2 linked regions of the Cricetulus griseus genome follow. The protein of the gene in region 2 interacts with the protein of the main gene of each other region in a pairwise test. Links are inferred from orthologs where the notes say so. Each region holds a gene or a part of one and is shown on either strand. Other genes may lie near its edges.

Region 1 (6,210 bases), on a different chromosome or scaffold from region 2:
TTTTTTTTTTTTTTTTTTTGTAATCGGTTATCCCTCTCCAATGGCAGAATTGTTAGCCTTGGGGATCACAACGAATCATAATTCATTTGTACATTTTAGACTCCTGGGCAACTTGGGTGCTTTTGTTTCCAGTGTATACAACCTGCTGCAATTCATTGCTGCTTTCCATTTTCTATATTTCCATTTTTAATCTCACTTTGTTATTTTCAAAATATATTAGTTAAAGACTGTAGTGGTTAATCTTGGTTGTTAACAATTAAAGACACCTAGAAATTTGTCAAGTACCTTCTGGGTATGATTGTGAGGCTATTTCTAGAATCAACTCATATATCAGTTTTCAGATTGAACAAGTAGGACCCACTCTGAATTGTGGGCAGCTGGAATTTAGGAATAAAAAGAGAAAGAAGGGGGCATCCATATTTGTTTGCATACTGGACTTTTTTGGGGTGATTCGGTGTTTGCTGCTGTCATCCCCAGGCCTCAGGCATCAGGCTTCCTGGCTATATCACTGCTCTCTTGTTCTAAAACTTACAGCTTCTTAAATAAAAAAGATATTGGTTTCTGTGTGTCTCTAGTCTTTAGAAGGCCATTGTAGAACTATACAGCCTTTGGTCATGTGTCATCCCATTTGGTCAACCAATAACCAAGTGTACACTGGGGACTTTTTGTGTTTTGTTTGGGATTTTTGAAATCATAGGGAATAAGATAACAATTTGTCACTTAAAAATGACATGAATTTTTCTTTCGTTTTTCTATCTGATTTAAAGCTTTCTGTGCAATATGTATCAATTATGACTTTTACAAGTCCCTGGCAAATGTCAGAATTTGTGTTTATAAGACAAGAGTAGACCAAGAACACCAGAAATTATTAGTGACATTATCATTTTTAAAAGGACCTTGGATGAAGGGCAAAATACACAGGCATTTTAGGTGCAGATTGGGCAGCATATAGTACTCTGTCTTCACTCCAGCTGTAGAAGGCACTGACATCTTCCTCCAACACATGGTGAAATGCAATTATAGCATGCAATCCATATGCCAGCTGTTATCCCATTGAGGATTACTGCTGTAAACTAAGCTAAACTTTTAAGAGACTGTCACAAATTTTCTTTGTGTCTTGTACTGTACGTGGGGTGGGAGGTACAGGATAAAAGTAGGAAGGAGAGCAACGTAGTCAACAGTTCGGTTAACTTTTTGGGTCTTGGGAGATGGCTCAGTGGATAAAATACTTGCTATACAAGTATGATGACTCCAGTTCAGATCCCCAGAGCTCATCTAAATGCCCGCTGGATGTTTAATTCCATGGAAAATAGAGGAAGACCCTAATTAAGCAAGATAACTTGCTAGACTGGTCCTATCAGCCAGGTTTGGCTTTAATTGAGAGATCCTGTCTCTACAGAGAAGATGGAGAGTGATGCAGGAAGCAGCCACATGCCTGTCCACACATGCATGTGCACAACATGTTCACCCTACACATGTGACTATGCACACATACACATAGACATGTGCAAAAAGAAAAAGCTTTTGTAGATACTTTTATGGTGATAAGGTCTTGAATTACGCTTTTAAATTGCAATTTCCCCTACACCACAATCGTGGCAAAAATGAAAAACTTAGTATCAGGAGTGCCCTGTGAGGTCAGGATGGAGATCTGCAGAACAAGTTCTGCTTGCTTGCAGCTAAGAAGTTGCCATTATGTTACTTCGGGTTTTGGCGCTTGTTTCCTGTCTGAAGTAACAATGTTTCTTATACAGTTACACTGTAGGGCTGCATTCTAAAGGAGCCTGTCACCAAGTTCTTTCCAAGCCCTCACTGAGGGCATGGCTCAGAGACCAGTCATGTACATTTGCATTTGTTGTTGACAACTGTGGACTGTAGACTGCCCTCCCTTCATAACCCCTGCTAAATGGGACTTGTAATCCCCTTCCCACCCACTCTCTTACTCCCTAGAGCAAGAATGTTGACTCCTGCTCTCTGTCACCTGTCAGAATCCATCCTCCTGTCACTGGCTTATATGGTCAAGTCAGTCCAGGGCCATGTGACCTTGGGTTGCTAAAAACAGCTCCATCACCCACTCTGAACCAGGGCCTGCAACAATGTCCTCCATAGAGAGAAACATAAAGGACACTTGATCTTACAGTCCTTGGAATTATTTCCAGGAAACACTTGCAGAAGCCGTTTGGGAGCACCAGTCCCCTGGCAGCACACTCAGCGACGGCCAGGAAATGAGCGCTTCTTTGAATTACAAGTCTTTCTCCAAAGAGCAGCAGACTATGGATAACTTGGAAAAGCAACTGATATGTCCCATCTGCCTAGAGATGTTCACGAAGCCTGTCGTCATTCTCCCCTGCCAGCACAACCTGTGTAGGAAATGTGCCAGTGATATCTTCCAGGTAGGTGTGTTTGGAATTCAGAGGGTGTCGAGTGTCCCTCCATCCTGTTTGAAATCAAAGGCGGTCCCCTTAGAGAGCTCTCCAAGGCTGTTTCCAGTGTGTTTGAATCATTTTCCCAGGTTTGGTTGTCAGCTTCCTCCTTAATTCCAAATCCAGTTGTGTTTTCATTCTAAGAACCGTATTTGTCATTAGTAAAACAAAACAGATGTACTGACTATGTTTAAAAATTGAAAATGAGCTACTGGTCAGAGGATGAGTGTTGGAGCTTCTGGTTGAAACTTTGGGTTATGAAAACACGGGATAGAAGAATGCTTCTTGCTAAAGAGGGGACATTGTAGGTTTGGCTGTGGATCAGGGAAGGCCTGTGTTTCAGGACCACTTGTAGTAAGCCCTGAGAGTCAATATAGTGCATGGTGTCAGAGAGTGAAAATAGTCTCCAAAAAGCTCCCCATGGGGCATTACTCAGTTCCTTTTTTTCTTGCTTGGCAAGAACAGGCCTCTAACCCATACTTACCCACAAGAGGAGGCACCACGGTGGCATCAGGGGGTCGATTCCGCTGTCCCTCCTGCAGACATGAGGTGGTGTTAGACAGACATGGGGTTTATGGACTTCAGAGGAACCTGCTCGTGGAAAACATCATTGACATCTATAAACAGGAATCCACCAGGTAAGAGCTATTCTGAGAGACAAACCTACTGGATGCTTTGTCTAATTGTTTTCAGCTTGATGGTCTGATGCACTGCATGTTCGTTAGCAGTCACAAGTTAATTGTTCCTTAAAAGGCTTTTCCATGTCAGTCTTTCCCAATGAGATGGAGTTGCTCATGGAGGAAAGAAGGGAGCTGGTGTGCGTGCCCTGTGTCATCAAAGGTAGTCATGTTGAAAGAGGTGTGGTGCTGCCCACAGCCTTGTATTACATTCATTTTAGACACATTGCAGGTTCCTTGTAAGTCCAGATCCTATGCTACAGAAAAACTCTAGCACAAACATGCACATAAGGGAAGCATCACTGTTCAAAATCCCCTGGCTCCTAGTGGCCTTGCCTTAAAAATGGTCTAAGCAACAGTAACACCTAAAATTTAAAAACACTCTGACCTCATCATTTGTCCTAATATCGGCTCTAATAGAATGTTCAAAGCAAGATATAATGCTGGTGTTCAGAAACTTCATTTACAGACATGGGAGAGGGAGTACATTTCAGGCTGTTTCTCTATTAGTGCATACTCTTAGCATCTACTTGGTGATTGATTGGTGTGTCATATGCATCCATTCATTAAAACATTTTTAAAGGCCTCTTATTATCACCCACATAAGTTATACAGTTCCTTTCCTAGAGATGAAACTGCAGAGTTTACTCCTAGAAGGCATGTTGAGAAGAGTCCTAACTCAATTCTACACAGGTCATTTGAGTTCAAAACGTTAGTATCCATATGGAGATCGTTTAGAAATGGACCCTCTGTGATCCCTAGCATCTAGGGCATGTGTTTATAGAACATCTGCAGGGCTGCAAATGCCTTGTACTCTTTGCAGGAAGGTTGCTCCATTAATCTAACATGTAATTATTGTGATTATTATGCCCATTAGTTTCTGCTCAAGATTCAGAGCTAAATTAGATAGCACCAGGCTATAGATGGGATCGAGGAAGAATTGCTGATGACATGTTGCAGCCACCTGTTTCCCTTGCTTCCAAATCTTTTGACAAGAAGGAAAGTGTTACCAGAGTTGCAGATCTGATTGCATCGTATTTCATTGTGTTAATGAAATGAATACATCTACAAAATGCTCCCACACCTCGGGCTCAAGGAACATTGCAGAAGAAGGCATGGAAAGACTTTAAGAGCCAGCTGATCAGGGAGCTTGCTATAAGACTGTGTCAGAAGCTATACCCATAACTGACCCCCACCATGATTGCCTAAATGTGAGCTGAACAAGGACGACAACAGACATGCCAAAATGGGTGAGGAAAAACCCCCGAGGCTTCAAACCACAAAGAACTACAGGCAACTAAACAATGTTGAGAGTGGAAGGAATAGTCTTTCCTAGCAAAGAGCATAAAAATTGGTTACACAATTTCAAATGGTCAGTCCTGAAAACATAATAAGAGTAACTGAGCAGGATTTATTTATAAATAAATAAATAAATAAATATGTACATGTAATAACAATTTAAAAAGAGGTCATGAATTTGAAAGAGAGAAAGGAGGGGTAAATGGAAGGGTTTGCAGAGAGGAGAGGGAGAAATGATGTGACTATATTATGATCTCAAAAATAAAAAAGGTCAACCACACGTTGTCTCCTTAAGAGATTACCATGGCAACTAATAACCAACCAATTATTAAATGGCAGTTATTCAACTATGGTTTCAGTGTCATATACAGTGCCTTCCCAGAACAGGAGCTCCACAGTGCTAGCTCCTTAAACAGAACAAAGAAATGCACCACTGTCAGGCTTCTGGGTTCTATTTATTACAGTTATTTTTTTTTTTATCTCACCACTCACCTAGTTGGAACTTCAAACATAAACATAATAGCATTTGCGATGAAATCTAGAGGACAGGAAATATTAAAACTTGTAGTGTTAGTACAACTACAAGATATAGTCTTGCCTTAATCATGAAGTCAGCCTGATACTCCTTCAGAGGATGGGAAACAAATTATACAAAAACAATGAGCCAAATTGCCACTACTAAAGCAAGAGCCATCAGGAATAGGGATAATTTTGTAATTATAAAATTCTTACATTGTTTCTTAAACTCAAGTCACATTGGGATGTTTTTACATGGTAGTTGCTTAAAATGGCTTAGTCACATCAAATTGAAGTTGGGAAGTTATACCAGACATGAGCCCCAAGCCATGGGATATATTCAACAACCTTAGAATACAGAATAAGATAACCCCAGCTCTAGTCTTTGGCAGTGTCAACAGAAAGGGAAAAGGCTGCTGTGATAGACTTTGAAGTATCATTCAACTCTGTCCTCTTACAGGATAGCTACAGTCATGACAAATCCTAGCCTTAACTAGCATTCTTCATCGTGATACACTAGCCACAGTTTGGGCTGGGCAAGGGAAGACACTAACTTGGTTAATATTATTATTGAACATAGTGATTAATTTGTTGATATAATAAGCAAAATGGCTTTGTATTGTGTGTTAGACTCTGTTCAGATGCTTTACCTGTGCCCCAGGTGTGATTCTTTAATGTTCCCAATGGTCCTCTGAGGTGGATTTTATTATCACACTATCAAAATTTTTGAATGCTTGTGTGTGTATGTGTGTGTGTGTGTGTGTGTGTGTGTAATGCATGTGTGTATATTCATGTGTGGGCAGGTGTATGTGCACATGTGTGTGAAGGCCAGTGTCTGACCAGATGTTCTGCTCTGTTGTGCTCCATGTTATTTTTTAAGGCAGCATCTGTCACTGAAATAGGAGCATAGCTGGCTAGCAAGCTAGGGGTTCTCATCATTGTCATCAGGGTTAGAATCACAGGCTCACACCACCACACTTTTGTTTGCTTTTAAGGATGCTTAAAATTAAATTCAGGTCCTCATGCTTACATGGCAAGTACTTGACTGACTAAGACATTTCCCCAGCCCTTTAAAAATGCTCCAATGGGAATGAAATACATAAATACTTTAATTTTAAAAGAGCCTTAAGCAGGACTACAAGGCCTCTAGTAAGAAGGCCTGTTCTTACCTTTCTGTCTCACACTCTTAACTGTCACTCCCCAAGTGCAATAACTTTTAATTCTCCTACCTACTTCCTATTTATCACCAATGATAATTGTGTTACTGGTTTGTTTTCTAACAAAATTTTAGATTT
Region 2 (5,599 bases):
GACCCTAGGCTTTCTTGCTGAAGAGTTTAGGCAGCAGAGAGGGTCTGAGGGTAGGGAGCTGACCACTCTGTTCTCTACCGGCTTCTGGGAGAGACTAGATATTTGAGATAGAAAATTTTGGATTGCTTTGGACAGTTTTCTTTCTTTTTACTGTTGTTCTTGGAATTTTTGTGAAGGAACAAAAATGAAATCAAATTTTATTGACTAAATTTAAAAGAGTCACAAGGAGGGCCTGGACTTTTCTCTTGAGGAACAGTTGTATCAATTCTGTGAGTCTGACCTTGTGTTTAGTTTTACTCGTCCTTAAAATTTAACTTTTCAGACTTAACTTTTGTTCTTGGGTTATTGTTTTATTTATACTTATCTGTTTATTTTTTGAGGCAGGATATCATGTATCCCAGGATGGCCTTGAATTTACTGTGTAGATGAGGCTAGCCTTGAACTTCTGATCTACCTGCTTCCACTTCACAAGTTCTGTGTTTACAGCATGTGCTACCATGCCCAGCCTGCTTGGTTGTCTTAAGTAGGATTTACATATCTGGAATCATTTGGAGGCAGTTATCCTTCAGGCCTGAAGGACATAACCCTGAAATTGTAGTTGAACCCACTTCTGTTCCTGTTTGCATAGATGCAGCACTGCATCTCAGATGCTATTCGGCTTGTAAATCTTGCATTTGAGTAAGTCAAATGCAATAGCAACTGAGCCGAGAGGGTTTTGTTTTTCCTCACAGAGCGTCCAGGGATAGACACTTAAGATTCAGTCAAGTTCTTTTGAGCTTTATAATTCATAACTTACAATCATTACAGTATCTGCCACAATTTGAAAAAAGTATTAGGTAGGAGTTTTCAAACCCAAATGTGCAACAAGGATAGGGAAGCAAAAGGCAGGAAAGAAGAGCTGCCGGGTAGAGGCCTACACAGCCTCCTCTCATGGTGGGCTCCATTGTGTGTAATAACATAGTTCAGAAAGACATCCTCTCCCATATGCATGATGTGCATGTTTGGGACAGTCCAGAGCTGTGGGGTCAGTGTGAAATGGTCACAGAGGCCACCATTGTCCAAAATAGAAGTTAAAGGGAAACCCAGACTGTTTACATGGGAGAATGTGCTGCAGCTTCATGGTTTTTGAAATCCAGAAGTCTAAATTTTAAATTTAAATCATGTCCATATTTTAAGAAACACAAAATGGAATGAGTCCAGACCACAGATAGCCTGGTTGCTAGTCTGTGAACACTGGCTTATCTGACCTATTGCTGTCCAGTGTGATGCCTTTGTCCCACCACTCTCTGCCCTTTCCCTGAGCCCTCCATTAACTTTCATGTGGCTTGACAAATCTGCTGTGCTCTGTGTCCCTTAGGCTGCCAAGATACATGCATGCAGTGAACACATGCAGATTTATAATGAGCTGATTTGGGCTCTAGAGAGTCCAGTGAATATAATCTTTTGTTTTGCAGATGTTTCTATTGATATGCCAGACCTACTAGATATCAGCCATCTTAGAGCCAGGGGCTTACAGCCAGGAGAAGAGGAGCTTCCAGACATCAGTCCCCCTATAGTCATTCCTGATGACTCAAAAGGTACCATTTCCTACTGGAAGGATACTCTTTCCTTACCACCCTCTTCCAGCCAGGAGGAGTTACTGTTTCACCATTAAACTGCTCCCTGTCTTTGACCTAGACACATAGGAATGAAGCATGGCTGCAACTGTATACTTCAGACTCATACACTATGAGTCATTGATTTGGGCCCTGGTGGCAGAGGCTCCTGAAAGGGCTTACAGACAGGTAGTGGTGAGCAGTAGGGAAGCCAGGATGGCTTTTCATACTTCCCCTATAAATCATGTCCAGGCCAGAAACCTTGCTCTTGGAAATAAATGCAAGGATTGAAATTATTTATCTCACTGAGATGTCAAAACTTCTTGTTTTATTTGCCCAAAATCTGCTGTTTCCCCTCATTACTGTAATTAATGAACTGTTTTGCAGGTAGTGTGTGTGGGGTAACCAGGAGTGAGAGGGTCTGGGAATATCCTGGACTGATGCAGTTTCTTTTTTCTAAAACTATTGGTGGTGGCTAGCTCTTATTTATCATCTGTTCTTTCATTTCCAGATCGCCTGATGAACCAGTTGATAGACCGTAGGTATCTTTAAAAGTGTTTTTTGGTGTCTTACAGTTGTTGCTAGTATGATATGTTTTAAAGATTTGTTCATTTTTATTTATACATATGGGTGTCTTGCCTGTGTGCATGTCTGTGTACCATGTGAATGCCTGATGCCCACAGAGGCCAGAAAAGGGTGTCAGATTCCCTGAAACTAGGGTTAGAGAGGGTTGTGAGCCACCATATGAGTGCTAGGAACAGAAAAAACCTGGGGCCTCTGGAAGAGTAGTAAGTGCTCTTAACTTCTGAGCCATCTCTTCAGCTCATAGTGTAACTTTTTTTTTTTTTTTTAAGTAGTAGTTCAGCAAAGTAGCATTGTTCTGTCCTGGATATATGTGGTTGTTCCTGGGTGGAACTGTCTGTAAGTTGAGTAAGCAACAAATGTAGACCAATGAAATGCTGCTTAAGTATCCCTTATTGCTCAGGAGGATTAGTGTAGGCTTGAAAGCTTGCAGTCCTGTGGGGTTTTGCTGCTTAGGACTGTGTGGCCTGGAACAATTTGTTTCTTATTCTATAGGCCTCAATTACCTCATTTGTAAACTGAGGTAATAATACCATTTTTTTTCTCATGAATAGCTCAATAGTTAGATGACATAAAAAGAAGTCAAATTAAGACCCAACAAAATGGATCTGTCTTCAGGTAGTCTGTAGATTAGATAAGGGGTTGAAGAGTAATGAAGACAGGAGGAAGTGGAAAATTCTGTTTTTCATGGTGGGATATCCTGCTGTGCTCTGTAGCCTCAGACATTGATGAATCCTCCGTGATGCAGCTGGCTGAGATGGGCTTTCCTTTGGAAGCCTGCCGGAAGGCTGTGTACTTCACTGGAAACACTGGAGCTGAGGTGGCCTTCAACTGGATTATCGTGCACATGGAGGAACCTGGTAGGTGGCCATATGGGAGTACTTTGGAGTTCATGTCCCCAAGGATGTGTCCCCAAAGATGAGTTTTCAGATGGTAACATGCTACTGTTTGGGCAAAGTCACAATCTTAATCTCTTAAACAACAGCTTTCTTGGAATAACTTCCTCCTTAAAGGTGTCCACACTTCGTTGACCAAAAGATCATTAGAAAGATGTGGTGTTTATTTTAAGCTTGAAATAGAAAACTGAAGAAATGGAGGCCCTTTCCTCAGCTTCTTCTTTTGTCTACTTTCTGAAGATGTCATTTATATATCCACCTATCAGAAGTGTACATTCACATGGATTTTAGTCACTTTACAATTAAGCAACTGTCTAATTCTAGAATATTTTTGTATAACAAAAGAAATGCTAGATAGGAGGTATCTTGGTGGTTTGATTGTAATTGGCCCCCATAATCTCATAGGGAGTGGCACTATTAGAAGGTGTGGCTTTGTTGGTGGAAGTATGTCACTATCTGGGTGGGCTCTGAGGTTTCCTATGCTCAGGAAGCTGCCCAGTGGCTCAGTCTACTTCTGTTGCCTGTAAGATACAGCACTTTCAGTTCTGGTACTGTGTCTGCCTGATTGCCTCCATGTTCCACCATGATGATAATGGACCGAATCCCTGGAACTATAAGCAAGCCACCCCAATTAAATGTTCTCTTTATAAGAGTTGCTGAGGTCATGGTGTCTCTTCATAGCAATAGAAACCCTAATTAAGACACTGCCTCTCCCATGTTCTTACTCTCTCCAGTGCTTAATCTTCACTAATCTACTTTCTGGGTACCCTACAATTGTTATGAATTTGCCTATTTTTGATAATTCATATGAATGGAATTGTACAACATGAGGCCTTTTGTGTCAGGTTTCTACCGCTTTTCATAATGTATTTAGGGGTCTTATGCTGTAGCATGAACAGCACTTCCCTTTTATGGCCATGTAGTGTTCCATGTATAGCCATACCACAGTCTGCCCTTTTATCAGAGGATGACAGTCATTTGGGTTTTTTCTGCTCTTTGGTGTTTATTAATGGGGCTGTAAACATAAACTTTTGTGCATATATAGATTTATGATTTTGTTTCTCTTGAGCAGAATTGATGTAGTTCTATATTTAACTTTTTAAAAATTGTCAATTTTACCCAGTGGCTGAACCATTTCATACTCTTACCCATGATGAATGAAGGATTCAATTTCTCTGAATTCTCACCATTAGCAGTTTTGTTATAGTGGCTTCTGGGTGTACCATGGTGGTCACTGTGATTTCAAGAGGTATTTCCCTACTGACTAATAACACTGTGGGTATAATTAGTTCTTTGCCTTTTATTGTTAAGTTCTAAGAGTTCTTTTTAAATTTTAGATACAGGTTTCCTCTCAGACACATTTTTTTTTTCTTTTTTGGTTTTTCAAGACAGGTTTCTCTGTGTAGCTTTGGAGCCTATCCTGTCACTCGCTCTGTAGACCAAGGTGGCCTCAAATTCACAGAGATCCACCTGCCTCTGCCTCCTAAGTGTTGTCAGACACATAATTTGCAGAGATATTTTTCTGTTCTATGTCTTCACTTCTTTGATGATGTCTTTCAAGTAGACAGTTTTTCAATTTTGATGAGGTATGATACATCTACTTTGTTTTATGAATTCTACTTTCTGTGTCATATACAAGGGATCATTGCTTAACCCAATGTTACAAAGACTGAATCTTGTGTTTTCTCTTTTAATTAAAAAAAATTAAAATTATTTTAATTAATTTTTAAAATTAATACTTTTAGTTCCTGTGTTTAAGACAATGATCCAGCTTGAGTTGATTTTGTGTTACATGAGGAGGAACCTCTGTCTTTATGGTTTTGTATGCAAATAGCCATGTCTTTCCCTGCTGAAAAGTCTGCTTGGAAATCACCTGTCTTTGGACTTTCTAATGCTGTTAAATCGACTGGTATGTCTAGCCTCAGATCTGGTTCTAGGATCCCTTGATTATACAGTTTTGTATATTTTTCCACATTTCTTCTACAATGTTTGTTTTCAAGGCAAAAAGCCAGAAAAATTTTAGTACAGTTATTTTTCTCAGATTTTGCTGAACCCTTGGCCATACCTGGGTATGGAGGGGCTGGAGCCTCTGTATATGGTGCTACTGGATTGGACAACCAACCTCCTGAGGAAATTGTAGCTATCATCACCTCCATGGGATTTCAGCGCAATCAGGCAGTGCAGGCCCTACGAGCAACGGTGAGCATTGGTGACTATGAGTTAGGGAATTCTGGCCTTGCTGGAGGTGGTTTCAGTTTGGTCCTTGGCAACAGAGACCTCCCAGTGTCCTTTGGTCATTCCAAGTTATTTTTGACTGTGTCCCATCACACTTCATGAAGATTTTTCATGTAGTATACACAAAACTAAACTGAATGAATGAGGTACTCATGTGGTGAGCTTAGGCATGAGGGGGTGTGGAGCTGGAGCAATATGACCAACATCTTGAATGTTCCATAGCAGGGCTCACAGGTCTGCTTGGAGTTTGCCAGCTTCAGAGCAAAGAGGGTGCTAAGGTTCTGGTTTGGT

Evidence for each region. The genes of interacting proteins can lie anywhere in the genome.
Region 1: the proteins of Usp13 (region 2) and Trim55 interact in a two-hybrid assay, tested with the Homo sapiens proteins (2 studies listed by BioGRID and IntAct). The link is inferred for Cricetulus griseus from reciprocal best matches to the Homo sapiens genes USP13 and TRIM55.

Annotation. Positions count from the first base shown.
Region 1 is NC_048595.1:150,883,008-150,889,217, reverse strand, and holds the start of Trim55 (tripartite motif-containing protein 55), read left to right. Parts: upstream 1-2,225; coding exon 2,226-2,393; intron 2,394-2,888; coding exon 2,889-3,061; intron 3,062-6,210. UniProt on the Homo sapiens protein: E3 ubiquitin ligase that plays an important role in regulating cardiac development and contractility, muscle growth, metabolism, and fiber-type differentiation.
Region 2 is NW_023276806.1:116,474,497-116,480,095, reverse strand, and holds part of Usp13 (ubiquitin carboxyl-terminal hydrolase 13), read left to right. Parts: intron 1-1,454; coding exon 1,455-1,577; intron 1,578-2,106; coding exon 2,107-2,133; intron 2,134-2,893; coding exon 2,894-3,037; intron 3,038-5,114; coding exon 5,115-5,272; intron 5,273-5,599. UniProt on the Homo sapiens protein: Deubiquitinase that mediates deubiquitination of target proteins such as BECN1, MITF, SKP2 and USP10 and is involved in various processes such as autophagy, endoplasmic reticulum-associated degradation (ERAD), cell cycle progression or DNA damage response.